Linked DNA regions of Oryctolagus cuniculus. The protein of the gene in region 1 purifies or fractionates together with the protein of each later gene. This does not show direct contact. Links are inferred from orthologs where the notes say so. Each region holds a gene or a part of one and is shown in the gene's direction. Other genes may lie near its edges. The genes, in order: PIDD1 and CRADD.

Region 1 (9,196 bases):
AGCCTTTCACGCACAGCGTAGCAGAAAACAGCAGAGAAATCTCGGGTCCGCGGCCCTCAGGGGGCGCCCCGCAGCCCTCCCCGCACAGAGAGACTCAGAGGCTCCGGTACAAAGGCTTTATTGGGGGGGGGGGGGGCTAGTCGAACAGGCCGAATCCCATGTCGTCGTCCGACTCCTCGGACTCCTCCTTCTTCTCCTCCTTCTTCTCCTCGGCTGCAGGGACAGAGGCAGTGAGCGGCCGCCCGCGGAGACCCCAGCCCACGCCCCGGCTCCCCGCCCACTCACCTGCGGCGGGCGCCGAGCCGGCAGCAGGGGCCGCGGAGCCCGGGGCGGCAGAGACGGCCACAGCCGTGCCGGCGGGCACACTGGCCAGCTTGCCGATACCTGGGGGAGGCGGGGGGAGCGATGCCTGGAGGGCCCTCGCCGGCACAGCCCTTGGGGGGGGATCCCGCGGCCCCAAGACCCCGTCTGCAAACTCGGCTTTTAAATTACCAAGTCTCAGCACCGCGCGCCACGCGCAGCAGAGCCGTAGGAGCGCCCCCAACGGGACTGCCCGCACCGCGCGCGAGCGGGGCCGTAGGAGCGCCCCCAACGGGACTGCCCGCACCGCGCGCGGGAGCGGGGCCGTAGGAGCGCCCCCAACGGGACTGCCCGCCCCGCGCACGGGAGCGGGGCCGTAGGAGCGCCCCCAACGGGACTGCCCGCACCGCGCACGGGAGCGAGGCCGTAGGAGCGCCCCCAACGGGACTGCCCGCACCGCGCGGGAGCGGAGCTGTAGGAGCGCCCGCCCGGGACCGCCCCGACGCCGACCCCGACGCCGGCGCCCGCGCCGCTCCGCCCTGCTCTGGTCCACAAGCGAACCCTGGCGGGCCACGAGCCGGCCGGCAGGGATTAGGATGGACCCCCGCCCGCAGCCCGCGCCCCCCGCTCACCCTGCGCGATCACGTCCTCGATGTTCTTCCCGTTCAGCTCGCTGATGACCTGGCGGGGACACGCGCGGGGCGCTCAGCACGGGCGCGGGGGCCCGCACGCTCGGCGGCGGCGTGACCGGCCCAGCCCTCCCGCGCCCCCACCTTGTTCAGCCGGTCGTCATCCGCCTCGATGCCCACGCTGTCCAGGATCTTCTTGATGTCTTTGGCGCTGGGCGAGGAGTTGCCCCCGAGGGCGGCCAGCAGGTAGGAGGCCACGTAGCGCATGCTGCGGGCGGCGGCGGCGTTACCGCGGCGACCCCCGCGCGCAGCCCGGGGAGGCCCCAGCCCCGCACCCCCGCCGACCCCGCGCCCGCTCCCGAGGCCCGGCGCTCCACTCACGCGGCGGCGGCGGCGGACGGGCCTCACGCGTGCGACCTCGGCGGCGTCCGGGGCGGAAAGGAAGGCGCCGGCGCAGTGGGCGGGGGTAAACCGCTACCCAGAAGCCTCTGCGCCGGAATGCGAGGCGCCTCCGGATGACGTCCGCGGCGCGCAGCCAATGACGGCAGGAGAGGCGCCATCGTTCGCTGCCTACCCAGGCGGTCGCCGTGGCAAAAGCGAAAGATTGTTCCCGGACTGGCTTCCCGGATACCGTAGGGCCGAAGGTCCCTGGATATGGGCAGGGCGGCGGGCGAAGAAGGCTGACCGGGACTTCGTCTGCCTTCCGCGCCTCGCGCTCCCAGCATGCCACGCGGCGCCTACAGAGCCCAGCATGCAGCGCGGCCGCCACGCGCGTGCGCATCTCGTGCCGCGAACCACGAGTCCCATGATGCACCGCTACCGGAAGTCGCGGCCCCTGCCGGCCTGGAGCGGCCGCACGTGGGCGCGGCGAGCCTGCGCGCCCAGCCGCCTCGCCTGGGCCCCGCGCGCGACACGAGGTCTGCGTGACCGGCCGATGGCGTCCGTGTTCTCGCCCGCGCTGGCCGCGCGTCCGTCCCGGCACGCGTGGCTCAGTCACCCGCTCGGGCCCGCGACCCGGGTCATGGGGGCCCCACCCTTGCTGGGGTAGTAGAGAAAGACGGGTCTTGTGCGGCCTGGGGAAGCGTCCCTGAGCTGAGAGGGGACAGGGAGCCAGCCCGGCGCGCGTCCTGATGGGCTCCAACCGGAGCGCAAGTCCCCGCGCGTGGGTCAGGACCCAGTGTGTGAGCGCACCCCGAGCCCCCAAGCGTGGGGTCAGGAGCCGTGTGTGAGCGCGCCCCCCCCCGAGCCCCCGCGCGTGGGGTCAGGCCCGGTGTGTGAGCGCGCCCCCCCCCGAGCCCCCGCGCGTGGGGTCAGGCCCGATTGTGAGCGCACCCCGAGTCCCCGCGCGTGGGGTCAGGAGCCGTGTGTGAGCGCGCCCCACCCCCGAGCCCCCAAGCGTGAGATCAGAACCCGGTGTGTGAGCGCACCCCGAGCCCCCGCGCGTGGGGTCAGGCCCGGTGTGTGAGCGCGCCCCGAGCCCCCGCGCGTGGGGTCAGGCCCGGTGTGAGGGCGCCCCCCCCCCGAGCCCCCGCGCAGGGCGTCAGGAGCCGTGTGTGAGCTTGGGCCGCAGGCCGCCCCTCTAACGCAGGAGGACCCTGGGCACTCGGGAAGTGGGAGGCCAAGTCCTGGCGAGGGCGGACTCCGGTGCAGCCCCAGAAGCAGCTGTCCGATGCTTCACGCAGAGATGGGTGCGTTGCTGGGTTTTTGGTGATCGCCACCTTTCTGAACCGTGCAGTTCGCGGAGGCCGCGTCACTGCTGTGGCCTCACAGCCCCGCCTGGTCCCTGGGCTGCACCCCCAGCCTTAGCGACCCCCATACACTCACAGCAGAGCTACAGAGCGAGGGAGACAGACGTCTTTCATCTGCTGGTTCACTCCTCAAATGGCCACAACTGCTGGGGCTGGGCCAGGCTGAAGCCAGGGGCCTGGAGTTCCATCCGGGTCTCCCACGTGGGTGCGGGGGCCCAGGTGCTCTCCCAGGGCGTCAGCAGAGCTGGATCGGAAGTGGAGCAGCCAGGAACCAGTGCGCATGGGGTGCCAGGGTTGTTGCACCGCGCCAGCCCCCTGGGTCTCTGTGTGTCGTTTTAAATACGTATTTATGTGGAAAGCAGAGCGAAGGGAGACAGCCAGGTCTTCCACCCGCTGGTCCATTCCCCACATGGCTGCCACGGGGAGGCCGGGCTGCAGCCGGGATCCAGGAACTCTGAGTCTCCCCTGTGCGGGGCGCCCGGAGCACCCGGGGGGGGGGCTGCATGGGAGGTGGAGCAGCCAGGACCCAACCAGGCCTCCTGGAGGGCGCTCCTGCTGCCACAGGGTGCCTGCCCTGCTCGTCTATTTAATAGATTTGAAAGGCAGACAGAGGGGCGGGCGCTGTGGCAGAGCAGTGAGGCTGCCACCTCAAAAATAGGTGGGGCCGGCGCCGCAGCTCAATAGGCAAATCCTCCACCTTGCACACCGGGTTCTAGTCCTGGTCGGGGCGCCGGATTCTGTCCCGGTTGCTCCTCTTCCAGGCCAGCTCTCTGCTGTGGCCAGGGAGTGCAGTGGAGGATGGCCCAAGTGCTTGGGCCTTGCACCCCATGGGAGACCAGGAGAAGTACCTGGCTCCTGCCTTCGGATCAGCGCGGTGCACGGGCCGCAGTGCACCGGCCGCGGCGGCCATTGGAGGGTGAACCGATGGCAAAAGGAAGACCTTTCTCTCTGTCTCTCTCTCTCTCACTGTCCACTCTGCCTGTAAAAGAAAAAAAAAAAATAGGTGGCCCATACGGGCGCCAGTTCCAGTCCCGGCTGCTCCACTTCCAATCCAGCTCTCTGCTGTGGCCTGGGAAAGCAGTGGAAGATGGCCCAGGTCCTTGGGCCCCTGCACGCGCATGGGAGACCCGGGAGAAGCTCCTGACTTCGGATCGGCGCAGCTCCAGCCGTTGCAGCCATCTGGGGAGTGAACCAGCAGATGGAAGACCTCTCTCTCTCTCTCTCTCTCTCTCTCTCTCTCTCTCTCTCTCTCCCCCTCTCTCTCCTCTCCTTCTCTCTTTCTCCTCTCTCTGTGTAACTCTGAATTTCAAATAAATAAATATTTTTTTAAAAATAAAAGGCAGAAAGAGATCCATGAACTGGGTCAGTCCCCAGCTCAGAACAGCCAGGGCAGGGCCAGGCCAAAGCCAGGAGCCTGCAGCTCCATCCAGGTCTCCTGGGGGCGGGGACACCCGCTGTCTCCCTGGGGTGCAGCTGGGCCGGGGAACAGAGCTGGGGCTGTGGTGTCTGTGGGGGCTTCCTGTGGGTGGGGTCCCTCTTCCAGGGGAACGTGTCCAAGGTTCCTTCCTTAGCACCTATCACATTCACTCCTTTTCTCTCTCTCTCTCTCTTTTTTTTTTTCCCAGAGTGGTGGTTTTATTTTTAAATTTCTGTTTTCATTTTATTTGAAAGAGACTGAGATGTTCCAGAGACAGGTTCACTCCGCAAACTCCTAAACAGCCAGGGCTGGGCCAAGCCAAACTAGGAGCCTGGAGCTCAGTGGGCCCCCCCCCGTGGGGGGCAGGGGCCGAGTGCTTCAGGCATCTCTGCAGCCCCCCAGGTGCACAGAGCCAGGACCCTAACCTCTCGGCTGTAGGCTCCCAAGGGTACACCGAGTGCCCACCCCAAATACACTCCATGAGGCTCAGAAGTACCCCCCTGATTGGGCCTATGAAGGATCCCCCCTTCAAACGGCCACTAGGCGGGCACTAGGAGGGAGGCCTGGCGGGAGCCGCGGGTCCACCTCGCGGCGGGCAGGGACGAGCAGGGGAGGGGCGGCGCGGGGAGGGCGCACAGGCCTGGCTGGGAGCACCTGGCACCTGTTCTGCTGGGTGACAACAGCCCCGCGTGCGGTGGGCGGGGGGCGTGTTTGGAGGGGCGGGGCCCAGAGTCCCCGCCTGCCCGCCCGGAAACGCGCGGGCGGGAAGCGGGAAGCGGGAAGCCGGGCGGGCGCCTGGACCCGGGTGCGCGGCGCCGCGACCCGGCCGGGGTGTGCAGCTGCCCCCGACGCGAGGGACCGCGCTCCTTCCCTGGCGGCGGGGGCGGCGGAGCGTGGGCTCTCGGGGCTGAGCCGCGCGGTAGGTGCGGGTCCTAGGCACCGCGGTCCAAGCCGATGCGCGAGAGGGTCGAAGGTGGGCTCTTAACCCCAGGACTGGGGCAGACTGGGCTCCCCACCCCAGGCAGCGCTGTCCACGCTCGGTGCCCCTCAGACGCTGGACCACAGCCCCCAACAGTGACCCTGCAGAGCCCAGGCTGAGGGGGAGGGGGAGAGACCCAGCCCCCATCACACTCACTCCTCTCCCTGCCTCGCAGCTTCCCAGGGCCTGCCTGAGCAGGCCTGCTCTGCGAGCTGGGACATGCCTGGCCCCCAGGGACGGCCGGGGGGTGACGATGGCCACAGTGGCGGAGGGGCTGGAGCCCGAGGCAGCTGCCACGGGAGATGCTGCAGCAGCGGCGGCGGTGGGTGCCGGGCCCGGGGCGGCTCCTCTCCTGGCCGGGAAGCAGCTGAACTTGGACCTGTACCCCGCGGGCTGCCAGCGACTGCTGCACCTGTGCGCCCAGCAGCCGACGCAGCTGCTGCAGGTGGAGTTCCTGCGGCTGAGCACCCACGAAGACCCCGGGCTGCTGGAGGCCGCCCTGGCCCGGGTGCCTGCACGCCTGCCCCGCCTCCGCTCCCTGGTCCTCAAAGGTGAGCCCGGCCGCGGCGTCTGACCCTCTCCCCACCCCTCCCTGCTGCCCTGCCTCAGGCCCGCCCCCACCCATCAGCTGCCCTGGTCCGCCGTCCCCTGCGCTCTGTGGAGCCTGGCTCCCCCTGAGCAGATCCAGTGTGGACGCCGCTCCTGGGGAAGGACGTGGGCGGCGCTGCCTGGGGCTGAGCCATGGCTCCATCCCTGCGCCCTCCGCCTGCAGCACCGAGCCCGCGTCTGCCTGTCCCCATGCAGCGCCAGGTGCGGGGGCCAGCAGGGCCGAGCTGGCAGCCAGGGCCCTGGCTCTGAAGGTCACGTCTGCCCCTCCCCGTCCCAGGAGGCCAACGCCGGGACATGCTGGGTGCCTGCCTCCCGGGCACCCTGACCACGCTGCCAGCCAGCCTGAGTGGCCTGGGCCGCCTGGCCCACCTGGACCTGAGCTTCAACAGCCTGCGGACGCTGCCGGCCTGCGTCCCACACATGCGCAGCCTGGACGCTCTCCTCCTGTCCCATAACCGCCTCTCGGAGCTGCCCGAGGCCCTGGGAGCCCTCCCTGCCCTCACCTTCCTCACTGTGACGCACAACCGGCTCCGGGCGCTGCCCGCGACGCTGGGGGCGCTGTCCACCCTGCAGCGCCTCGACCTGTCTGAGAACCTGCTGGACTCCCTGCCCGCCGCCATCGGGGGCCTAAGCCGCCTCTCTGAGCTCAACCTGGCCTCGAACGCGCTGCAGAGCGTCCCGGCCTCCCTCGGTGAGTGGCAGCGGAGGCCCTGGGCTCCTGGGGCAGCACCCTGCAGCCTCACATGGGCTCTGGCCCCTCTCCGCTTCTGTAGGGGCCCCTGCACCCGCAGCCTGCCCTCAGCCCAGCCTTCAAGGCCTCCATGAGGCCCACTGAGTCTGCCAAGGGGCGGTGTCCGCGAGGGTGGCCCCCGCAGGCCCCCCCTCCCGGCGCTAAGCCGGCCCCGCCTGCCTGCAGCCCGCCTCCGGTGCCTGCGGCTCCTGGTCCTGCACAGCAACCGCCTCACCTCCGTGCCCGCTGACCTGGCCGGCCTCCCGCTGCTCGCCCAGCTGGACCTGAGGGACAACCAGCTCCGGGCCGTGCCCCCTGAGCTCCTGGACGCACCCTTCGTGCGCCTGCAGGGGAACCCCCTGGGCGAGGCCCCAGCAGCCTCCCCGAGTCCCCCAGGTAGGCCTGTTGCCAGGGAGGGGCACCACAGGGGAGACGCGGGCGGTGGCACCCCCCAGGATCTGTCCGCCCCTCCCGCAGGGACCCCCATGGATCCGGAGATGCCTCGGCTGCGCCTGACCTCGGACGCGGGCAGGTACCGGGCAGGGCTGGAAGAGCGGCCAGGACGTGCCCTGGGGGTTCTGGCGTCCACGGGGGCCCTGTGTGTGTGACCGACGCTCCTCCACCCTCAGCTTTCCCGTCACCCCGTGGGGCTGCTCCGTGACCCTGGCCCATGGTGTCCGCCTGCTGTTCCCGGCCGGGGCCACCACCGCCCCCGTCACCATCCACTACCAGCTATGGCTGCCGCAGCCGGGCCTCGTCTCGCTGGGCCCTCACGACTCCCTGCTCAGCAGTGTCCTGGAGCTGTGGCCCCACGGGCTGACCTTCCGGCAGGCACGGCCAAGGCAGGTGGGGGGTGGGCGTGGAGCCCCCAGGCCCGGCTCTGGCCCTCACACGGCCCCCTGCCTGGCAGGATGTGAGCCTGTGGCTGCTTGTTGTCCCCCCACGGACCCAGCTTTGCCGTGAGGTGGTGGTCAGGACCCGGAGTGACGGCAGCTGGAGCGACCTGGAGACCTTCCTGGAGGAAGAGGCACCCAAAGTGAGAGCTGCCCAGGCCTGGCCTGGTGCTGTCCACCCCTGCCCGCTGTTTGCCTGGACCCCCGGCCTGACTCAGCCTCTCCTCTGACCCCTCCCCTGTCCCAGCGGCTCTGGGCCCGCTGCCAGGTGCCCCACTTCTCGTGGTTCCTCGTGGTTCTGCGCCCTGTGTCCGATGCCTGCCTGGTGCCGCCAGAGGGGACCCTGCTGTGCTCCTCTGGCCACCCTGGGGTCAAGGTCACCTTCCCCCCAGGGGCCACCCAGGAGCCTCGTCACGTGTCCATGCAGGTACGGCCAGCATAGGGCCATGGGCGGCTGGGGCGCCTCCGCGCACGGTGGACACTCAGGCGGCCTGTCTGCCCCAGGTGCTGCGCATGGCCGGCCGGGAGCTGCGAGCCCTGCTTGGGGAGCCTGGGGCCGCCGTGAGCCCCCTACTGCGCCTCTCGCAGAGCGGCCCCACGTCCTTCCTGCGGCCGGTCACCGTGCAGCTGCCCTTGCCCCCTGGCCTCACAGGTGAGAGGCGGCTGTGTGGCCCCTGGGCCGGTGGCCTGCAGGGCAGCCCTGCAGCGGGGCCTCAGCCTGCTGTCCCGTCCTGTCCAGGCCTCGACCTGGACCGTTCCCGCCTGCACCTGCTGCACCGGGCTCCTCCTGAGGCCACGTGGGATGACATCACGGCTGCGGTGGCGCTGGAGGTCACCCACCTGTATGCACGCTTCCAGGTCACACACTTCTCCTGGTCAGTGCCCCCCCCCCGCCCTCAGCCCCATCCCTGTGTGCCCAGCCCCTGGTCACTCCTCCTGGTCAGCCCCCCAGCCCCAGGTCACTGCTCCTGGTCAGCCCCCCCCAGCCCCTGGTCACTCCTCCTGTTCAGCCCCCCAGCCCCTGGTCACTGCTCCTGGTCAGCGCCCCCAGCCCCTTCAGCCCCGCCCCCGTCTGCCCAGCCCCCAGCTCACCCGCCCCCCAGGTACTGGCTCTGGTACACCACCAAGGCCCGCGTGGGGGACCTGGCCCGCAAGGCCTGGGAGCGGCTGCGGCTGCACCGCGTGAACCTCATCGCACTGCAGAGGCGCCGGGACCCCGAGCAGGTCCTGCTGCAGTGCCTGCCCCGCAACAAGGTGGGGCGGTGGAGGGGGCGGGCAGCAGGTGGCGGGCGTGGCAAGGCCTCGGGCTGCAGCGCGCCGGTGCCCGCAGGTGGACGCCACCCTGCAGCGGCTGCTGGAGCGATACCGCGGCCCCGAGCCCTCCGACACTGTGGAGGTGTTCGAGGGCGAGAAGTTCTTTGCAGCCTTCGAGCGGGGCATCGAGGTGGACGCTGGTAGGCTCTGTGCCCCCGGGGAGGGGCGGGTCCCTGGGTGCGCCCCCTGCTGAGCCCCCTGGCCCCCAGACCGCCCCGACTGCGTGGAGGGCAGGATCTGCTTCGTCTTCTACTCACACCTGAAGAACGTGAAGGAGGTGTACGTGACCACCGCCCTGGACCGGGAGGCTCAGGCCGTGCGAGGACAGGTGGGCGGGGCGGGGGCGGCGGTAGGGCCCGGGCTGCCCGGACACCCGCCGGAGCTCTGAACCCCGCCTGATCTCCCAGGTGTCCTTCTACCGGGGCTCGGTGCCCACGGAGGTGCCCAAGGAGGCCGCCCGGCAGAGGAAGGGTGCGGACGCCCTCTGGATGGCCACTCTGCCCCTCAAGCTGCCGGTGAGGGCAGGGGCAGGGCTGGCCCGGGGTGACGGAGTGTGGAGTGGCGTTAGGGGCTCACC
Region 2 (9,096 bases), on another chromosome or scaffold:
AACATATCTGTACTTCCTGAAATGGATTTGTTACCACTGGGAACAGGTGCTTAATCCTCTTAAGGCACAATTCCAGCCTACACAGAGGAACTGGCAAGCGTGGAGGCGTGACCACCTGTGGTGGTGATCCTCCTCTGTGCTGGGTTCTTCAGAGAACCTCTGGTCTTAGATCTTTATAGAAGCCAAGCTGGACTTTTTTTTTTAAGATTTTAATTTATTTTACTTGAAAGAGTTACAGAGAAGTAGAGAGAGAGAGAGAGAGAGAGAGAGAGAGAGAGAGAGGTGTCTTCCATCTGCTGGTTTACTCCCCAAATGGCCAAAATGGCCAGTGCTGAGCTGATCCGAAGCCAGGAGCCAGGAGCTTCTTCTGGGTCTCCCACACAGGTGCAGGGGCCTAAGGGCTTGGGTCATCTTCCACTGCTTTCCCAGGCCATAGCAGAGAGCTGGATCAGAAATGGAGCAGCCAGGACTTGAACCAGTACCCATATAGGATACTGGCACTGCAGGTGGCAACTTTACCCACTACGTCACAGCGCTGGCCCCGGACTTTTTTTTTTTTTTTTTTTAAGATTTATTTTATTTATTTGAAAGGCAGAGTACAGAGTTACAGAGAGAGAGACAGACAGAGAGAGAATCTTTTGTTGGTTCACTCCCTAAATGGCTGCAATGGCTGGGACTGGGCCAGGCTGAAGCCAGGAGCTACACACATGTGTGCAGGGGACCGAGCACTTAGACCATCCTCCGCTGCTTTCCCAGGTGTGTTAGCAGGGAGTTGAACCGGAAGTAGAGCAGCTGGTACTCGAATTGGTGCCCATATGGGATGCTAGTGCTGTAGACAGCAGCTTAACCCACTGCAGCACAGCACCAGCCCCCAAACCACACTTTGATATACCGCTCCAATATACTGTGTGTTTATATATGATATACTGTGTGTATATCATATGTATATACCAGCCCCCAAACCATACTTTGATATACTGCTCCAAAGTATCACTGTGTGTTTAGGTGGGGTGGTGGCCACTTCTTCCACTGGTTAATGACAGGTAGCTAGACAGTCTGAGAGTCACCCTGGTCACTTAGTAGGCAGTATGGACACATCTAACTTTGCCACAGGAAGAGGAATTTAATGGTGGTGGTCTTTGTCTATGGATAAGTCAGAACCTTAAAGGCCAGCCACTCAGGTTATTTACCATAAGGATGCCTGCCGATAAGCTCACTTTTTGTGTGCTGTTCTTGCCCTCTTTGCTTCACTTCTGTGACCCTCAAGGGTCTTGCTCTTGGTTCTCCACCTGTTCCTGGACGTCATAATCAAGGCTCACCCTTGAGTTCCCAGATCTAAAGTCTTTCCAGATAGGGTAAGTGCTCAAGATGTGTATTCAACGGGTGTTAACTGTGCTATTTGTTTCAACTTTTCTGTTTAAAGATTGTCAAAGCTTTAAAGTTGGAAAAAAATATATTTTGTTTTCCTTGCCAAAAAGTAAGTAATCCTCCGCTATTGGCAGTGTTGCCTGAGGGCTACACTTCACCTGGATGAAGACAGAGAATGCTGCTGCTACTTGTCCAAGCAGGGAAAAGGAAAGAACACCAATTTTAGAGTGCATTTGTCCTTTTTTTGTTACTATAACAAAATACCTAAAGAAAAAAGGTTTATTTAGCTCACAGTTCTGGAGATTCAAAGGCATGACATTGGCATCAGTATCAGCACAGGTCTGGTGATGCTTCATGGTAGATGACATCACATGGGCAAGGGCGTGTGTGGGAGAAAGAAATCACATTTCAAAAACAGGAAGTTAAAGAGTTGGGTGGTTTTATAACAAACTTCTCTTTAAAGAACAAATAGGATCCTCAAACTATCATCATCCTTTGACAGCAAGGCCCCCCAATCACCCAAAGACCTCCCACTAGCCTCATCTTTTTTGTTTTTTAAAGATTTATTTATTTGAAAGTCAGAGTTACACAGAAAGAGAAGGAGAGGCAGATAGAGAGAGAGGTCTTCCATCTGCTGGTTCACTCCCCAATTGGCTGCAACAGCCAGAGCTGCGTGGGTCTGAAGCCAGGAGCCAGGAACTTCCTCCGGACCTCCCACATGGGTGCAGGGGCCCAAGGACTTGGGTCATCTTCTACTGCTTTCCCAGGCCACAGCAGAGAGCTGGATCAGAAGTGGAGCAGCCAGGACTTGAACTGGCACCCATATGGGATGCCAGCACTGCAGTAGCCTCTTCTTAAAGGCCCCAGCAGCTCTCACATCACCATACTGTGGTCCAAGCCTACAATATGTGAAACCCCAGGGGGAACCAACTGTATCCAAACCAAACCGTAGAGCAAAAGAGGAAGTGGACAAGAGTACAGAGTACCTGAAACTCGACTATCAGGAGTGGGAAGTGGCAACAGGACTATTTACCAATAATATTTTGGCTGTCACCAGAACAACAGAATCTTTATGGGACTGTGTTATATACTGGAAAGAGCATGAAATCAGAATCTTGATTAGAATTCAGGTTTTGCTTTGTATTAACTCAGACTTTGGCTAAGACAATTGGCCATTCTGATTCCACAGTCTCTACACATGTAAAATAATAACAATAATATTAGGCGCATATATAAAAACACTTTACTGGTATAGTAAAATTATATACTAGCATAGTAACGCTGTAAACTGGACATAATTATCAGGTTTTCAGAAGGAAGGTTCAGAATTCCCCTCCACTGATTTTCTTATAAGAATATATTCATCTTCCTTCAGAGGTGCTGGTTGTGAATTCCTTTGGAGAAATTATATTTGAAAGATTTTTTTTCTGTTACTGCCAATCCATTTTGAGCAGGTGCATGACTTTCTGCACATACTTGCATTCTCCGGTTGATGTAAAAATGAATCAATGAATACTTTATTGACCATATGCCTTGTTTCACAAAAGAATTTGAGGAAAGACTCAATTTGCTACTCTTCCATCTCTGTATTGGGTCAGGTATTTGGTCTTGCTTCCCAAAGTAAAGATGTGGTAGACACAGTAGAATCAGCTTCATCTGATGTCCCTCCCTCTAGTTGGTGATTTCAAGACTCTATTGGTGAGTGTGGCCAGAAGTCAGTTTGGCAGTGTTGTGTAGGGGTCACCCTTTGGTGATCAGCCCTTTTAACAGCTTACCCCGTGATTCCAAATGTCCCCAATGCCCCATGACAAACCCCTTTCTCTCTGGAGTAGCCTGGAAGCCCAGGGGCACTGACTTGTAAACTCTGCAGGCAGGAATACTGTGGACGTAGAGATGATCCTGCACTCAGGTGGAAACAGCTGGTAAACAAATGAGTAAGCAAAGGTTTTGGTAAAACAGTGATGTGCTTGAAGAATCAGAATAAAATGGATTGAGTATGGCTAAAAGCTAATTGCAGACCTCTTGCTTCTGTACATATTAGCTTTGTTTGGTAACGGCTAAGGGTGGATCTTGTGAAACTATGTGGGCCCAAATTCCCAGGAACTAGGTTGGCCAAAATGTGTCCTTCACTGTTATTTTACAACCATATCTTGGATCTGTTATTGGGTTTGTTGTTGTTAACTGTTACCTTACAACCATATTCTGGTTTTCCTCTTTATTGTTCACTGCATACCAGGGGTCCGGTTGAAATTGTGAGCCCTAGTGGACAGAATACTATAAAAAGCTATGTAACCCACTGTTGGGGGCTGCCCTCTGGTAAGGAGTGTGGGTTCCTATGGGTGGACGGTCCTGCTCGGTTACCTGCCTTTCATTTGCTTCTCATTTTCAATAAAATTCATGTGTGACCGTCACTAGTTTTTGTAACATTTTGTTTTAGCTTATGAGTGGATGTAACATGCTCTAGATAAAAATAAACAGGTAAACGGAATGGGAGCGCAAGAGAGGAACACAGGTGCACTGCCATTTTAAATAACAGTGGTCAGAAAAGGCTTTGCTCTAGGGTAACTTTTGAACTGCCTGTCTAGTATATCAGTTGTGTGCAGGGCGTGGTGGAGTTACTCTATCAAAAAGCAACAATATCTTTACTCCTTCGCTTAGGTAGCCCTCCAAGTAATACCACAATTTTTCACCTTCAGGCGGTTTTATTGTTTTCCCACAGCAAACATGGCGGACAAAGCGTCAACCTGACCCCTGGACCGCCTATAAAAATGGCGACAGTACTTCCACTTCCTGTGTTTGCCCTCAACAAAGATGGCGACGTCACTTCCTGTTTCGGGCTTCCGCCTTCAACAAAGATGGTGCTTATGGTAGAGGTTCCCTGACAGTCTGGATTCCGGTTGTAGTTTTTTTTTTTTTTAGAAACGTGGTTGCAGACGTAAGTAAGAGGAATCCATCTTTTCTCGAAAGCCCCGCGCTGTGGCGTTCTGACCCGAGCCCTGTGTGGCCCTCTCGCCCCCCGCTAGCTTGGTTACCGGGCTTCAGAACCGGGCCAGGGTTGGGGTAGGGGCGGCGGTGCTGGGGGTCCGCTGTCCCCTCAGGGGGCTCTGACGAGAGTTCCCAGCACTCCCTGTTTGGCGGGTGAAGTTGCTTTGAAAATCTCTGGCGGTTCTTCCTGTTTGTAATCCGTCAAGGGATTCAGCCGCCAAGGCAGGGAATTAAAGCGAAGTTCCGAAGGGATGTTCTCAGCCAAACGTGGACACCCCCTCCTCCACCTGCCACGGCCCAGCCCTCGCAGAGGGCGGCGAGGGGAGCCGGGTGTCGCGCGTCTGAATCCCCTCCGTGCCCCTTAACCCTCCTGTGCTTGCAGCAGTCCCACAGCTTACTGGGCGGCGGTGTGGGCTTTTTGTTTTAAGAAAAAAAAAAAAAAAAGAAAGAAACCATTAAATGCCCCATGCCGATGTCCCATACCCACCGCAGAGCTGTGACAGTGGTCCTGAATTCTTAGAAGGATTACGCTCTGCGTGTATGTAGTGTGGTCGTGTGGTCGACTGCGCACAAACAGTTTAGAAGTACTTTTCTTGAAGGTGGTGATGGTGTGGAGGGTTTTTCTCTTGGAAAAAATCCTTCAATGCATTCTGGCCCCCCACTGCCATTGCTGAGGTCTGTTAGTTTCTCTAGCAGTGGTGGCTGGTATCTCCGATGAAGTCCATGTGGAAATAAAACCATGTTTCTACTCCAGGGCGTTAAAACGGAATGTTCCTCTATAATCCTCAGATAAAAATTGCTTCTTAAGCAAAGTGTCAGACCCACTGCTGTCCACATCCTTATTGAACAAGGAATTGAACTTTGACCACACTGTGTGAAAAGCAAAATAAATAAATAAATAAATACATAAAATAAAATAAAAATTCATTTTTAGTGTCATTTGGAAACTTGGAAATGAACTTAGCTGGGCTTACCAATCGTGTGTGAAATACCATAGCCTGGCCCCGTGCTAGGGCCCGCGATGTATCTGGTGCATTGACATTATCTTGAGGGGCGCTTAGGCATTTCTGTGATTTGAGCCAGGATTTTGTGTCTTCTCAGGGAGCAATGGAGGCCAGAGACAAACAGGTGCTCCGCTCACATCGCCTGGAGCTGGGTGCAGAGGTTCTGGTGGAGGGACTGGTTCTTCAGTACCTGTACCAGGAAGGCATCTTGACAGAAAACCACGTTCAAGAAATCCAGGCTCAGGCCACGGGCCTGCGGAAGACAATGCTGCTGCTGGATATCCTGCCGTCCAGGGGTCCCAAAGCTTTTGATGCATTCCTGGATTCCCTGAAGGAGTTCCCCTGGGTGAGAGAGAAGCTGCAGAAGGCAAGGGAAGAAGCTGCAACAGAGCTGCCTGCAGGTAGGCCTCCACAGGTCTCTTCTCGCCAGCTCCTGAAAGGTTGGAACTGTGCCCTCTAGACTGAAGTTGGAGTTTTAGGCTGGGCAGAGGTCGATGATGCGTGCAAGGGGTGGGGGATGGCAGTCAGGAGTTTGGACTGAAGGGACACGGATGGGACAGGATGTTGGGGGGACAGGATGAGGAGGTCCAGGGAAGGAAGGAAGAAGGAACCATGCCTGAGAGGTTGAGGAGGGCACTCAGAGAGTACGCTGAGAAACGCTTCCAGGGAGACTTGGCAAGCCACTCAGGAGGCATGTTCTCATCAGAGAGCCAGGTCACAGCCCAGCCCTTGGCATCGAGAGCCATTTGGAAAGTGCAGATGGGAAAGCGGGCTTTGGCCTACTGATAACTGGTTTGTTGGGCGCCAGAGCTGGCAGCTGGGAAAGGTCACAGTGGTGGAGGCGGTGCGGTCTCTAGGAAGGCAAGCTCCGCACCTGTCCCCCCTCGCCCTGCAAGGCCCAAGGCGCGATTGTGAAGATGCGCTTAGTTGGTTTCTAAAGGCTGTCAATTTAAAGTGTTCTTTTAAGTTTGACTTTGTTGAGGCACCTGAAGGATTTCCTTTTGTAGGGATGGTCATCTAGGGGAGGGTTTCGTTTTGATTTTAAGGAGAATTGGAAGCTGTGGAAAAAAAGAAGCCATTCTGGTGCTATTAGCCTATCTTATAGCAGGTAGAAGATGTTATACGAAGCACTTGTTCCCTCCTAACATTTCCAGGGTTTATACTTTTTCCGAGACTGAGGGGCAGAGGACTGAAGTGGCAAAAAAAATTTTAAAATATTTTTTTCTAAGTCCCCAGACTTTGTTGTTGCTGTTTTAAAAATGCCAGAACAACTAGTTAAAAAATTCTAGTAATAAAAGACCATTTATTTTTTTTTTCTCCATGGACCCTGTATTTTAAATGATTTTTCAGACCACATGTATGAAGTACTCCTAATGAATTCCATTTTTGTTAATGATGTGTGTCTGAGTATCTGACATGTGATGACCAGTTAAGAAAACCTGATGAAATCACAAAATATTTTCATCCTTAGCTTGGATAAATTCCAGGTAAATTTATGCTTAGACTTTTTTGAAATTGAAAATAGCTCACCTTGGAGGACAACTGGAACTCTCAGCCTGGACTGTCATTAAGCGCTCTACATGGCTGAACAAAACCAAGCCAACAAATCTAAGACATTTTTACTACTTTATTGAAAAAAATAAAACAGAATTGGGGAGAAACTAAAACATTTTTCAATCCTAGCCAGTAAGATGCTTGCGCCCCACATCACAGTTCTTGGGCTCAATTTCTGGCTTTGGCTGCTGATTCCAGCTTCTTTCTAAAGCACGCCCTGGGAGACAGCAGTGATGGCCCAAGTAATTGGGTTCCAGCCTCCCATGTGGGAGACTGGGATTGAGGTCCTGGCTTTTGCAGGCATTTAGGGAGTATGAACTAGCAGATGGGAGCTTTAGCTTTCCGTCTTTATGCTTCTTAAATTTTATAAAAACAAATTATTGGTGTTTTCCTGGTATTTGTCTTAGAGGTTCCCTGGCGGCACCTAGTTGGAAATAAGAAGGGCGAGTTGAAAGGTTTTCACTAGCAATTTAACTTAATTGCATGGTCATTTTGAGTGATGTAAATAGTACTGCTCTATGGCATTCACAGAGGTGTGACCCCATTTCCATTTCCTTGGATTCCTTCGGAGAGTAAGGTTACCAAATGGTGAAAGTTACAAAGAAGCTAAGGGAAAAATAGGTTTTTAAAAAGCAAACAGGATGAGACAGTATGCATAGGAAGAAATTGACTGTATCTGTGTAGAAGTTTAGAAAAATAAGGTTTTCCAGATTTTTAAAATTCTGTCGAATGAAAGATAAGGTTAATCAATAATTCTTAAGTGTTTTAGTTCTTATTAACACAGCTACAGAAAAAAATATTCTGAAGCGGTTTGATTTACATGTCTGTATACCTTCTGCAATGATTATTACATAAACTCATTTTTAAAATAGTTATTTTTGCAATGACTATTTTAAATAACAAAATATGAGTAATATATGCCGGTACTGGCGCAGTGAGCACCTTTTTGCACATCACTCAGGTTTAGAAAAATAACAATTGCCTTTGAGAACCCCTGGATGCTCCTTCCCAGTCCTCTCCTTCTAATCCATGACTCACTGATAAGCTTGAATTTGGAGTTTATCATTTATTCTCTTTACTTTGTGGTTTTTCATCTCATAAAAAGCACTTAAAAAAATCCATGTTACTGAAAATCCAGTATACCATAGATCCTAGTGGTATATAGATTTATCTATCTATCTATCTATCTATCTATAATTTATGTGTATGGGAAATATGGAAGAAATAATATACACATTTAAAAAAGTTTATTTATTTATTTGAAATGCAGAGTTTCAAAAAGGTAGATTTTCCATCCTCTGGTTCATTTCTCAGATGATAGCACCTACCAGGGCTGGGCCAGACTGATGCCAGGAGCCTGGAAGCCCATCTGAGTCTCTCACATGGGTGTGAGGGCCGCAAGTCCTTGGGCCATCTTCTGTTGTTTTTCCAAGTGCATTAGCAGGGAGCTGGATTAAAAGTGGAGCAGCCAGAACTGGAACCTGCACTCAAATGGGATGCCTTTGTCTCAGCCTGCTGTACCTCAGTGCTGGCCCCAAAACATGCATATTTTAAAGGAGTTGTTAGTTAACAACCTTCTCTTTTTTAAGACCTTCAAATTTTTTTGAAGTGTTTAAAGCAGTTAATTTGATGACAGTATTCTAATTCTAAAATTAAATTAGGACTTAATTAACTGGAAACCTAGTTTTTGCTTTTTTTAATCTTGAAAGAGTATCAGAGTTGAAAAGCCTTCCAATTTTATATCCCTATAAACAAACAAACTCATAGGCCTACTTCCTGGGACCCCGAGTGCTTCTCCAATGTGGTAGTAATTGTTGTAAGCTTTAATTTAAATGTTTCTAAAGGCAACTTTGAGTTTTGAGGAACTGGTCTGTAGGAAAATGGAGTGCTTATTTGTGTATGTATGTACATAACCTCTACTACCAACAGCTTATTTTGATTGTAATTGTTAATATATTGTGTGGATTTGGTGTTCTTGTCTTGGGCGGCCTTGAAGACAAAGGGGAAGGAATGGCCTTCTCCTTAGCCATGAGGTATATTCCTCTTCAAAAATGAATGATTTTGTTTTCGTATTCTGGTCTTGCAGATTCTTGATTTTCCCCTAATTGTTTGTTGTTGTGTTTTACTTGTAAATTCTGAGCTGCTTCGGAGTCTTTGTTTGGGTAATCCTAGTCAAGTACTTTTT

Evidence for each region.
Region 2: the proteins of PIDD1 (region 1) and CRADD purify together in Homo sapiens (affinity purification with western blotting; 8 studies listed by BioGRID and IntAct, with this or other methods). This does not show direct contact. The link is inferred for Oryctolagus cuniculus from reciprocal best matches to the Homo sapiens genes PIDD1 and CRADD.

What each region holds. Positions count from the first base shown.
Region 1 is NC_091432.1:329,769-338,964, reverse strand, and holds the start of PIDD1 (p53-induced death domain-containing protein 1), read left to right. Parts: upstream 1-2,258; 5' UTR 2,259-2,617; intron 2,618-4,832; exon of another isoform or gene 4,833-5,067; intron 5,068-5,248; 5' UTR 5,249-5,326; coding exon 5,327-5,624; intron 5,625-5,845; exon of another isoform or gene 5,846-5,959; coding exon 5,960-6,373; intron 6,374-6,598; coding exon 6,599-6,808; intron 6,809-6,889; coding exon 6,890-6,944; intron 6,945-7,041; coding exon 7,042-7,243; intron 7,244-7,322; coding exon 7,323-7,448; intron 7,449-7,552; coding exon 7,553-7,732; intron 7,733-7,809; coding exon 7,810-7,957; intron 7,958-8,044; coding exon 8,045-8,559; intron 8,560-8,635; coding exon 8,636-8,759; intron 8,760-8,828; coding exon 8,829-8,947; intron 8,948-9,026; coding exon 9,027-9,134; intron 9,135-9,196. Other genes in the region: RPLP2 (large ribosomal subunit protein P2), read right to left, coding at 137-213, 286-384, 933-981, 1,074-1,196. UniProt on the Homo sapiens protein: Component of the DNA damage/stress response pathway that functions downstream of p53/TP53 and can either promote cell survival or apoptosis.
Region 2 is NC_091442.1:96,629,080-96,638,175, forward strand, and holds part of CRADD (death domain-containing protein CRADD), read left to right. Parts: intron 1-4,083; exon of another isoform or gene 4,084-4,087; 5' UTR 4,088-4,303; intron 4,304-5,454; 5' UTR 5,455-5,460; coding exon 5,461-5,758; intron 5,759-9,096. UniProt on the Homo sapiens protein: Adapter protein that associates with PIDD1 and the caspase CASP2 to form the PIDDosome, a complex that activates CASP2 and triggers apoptosis.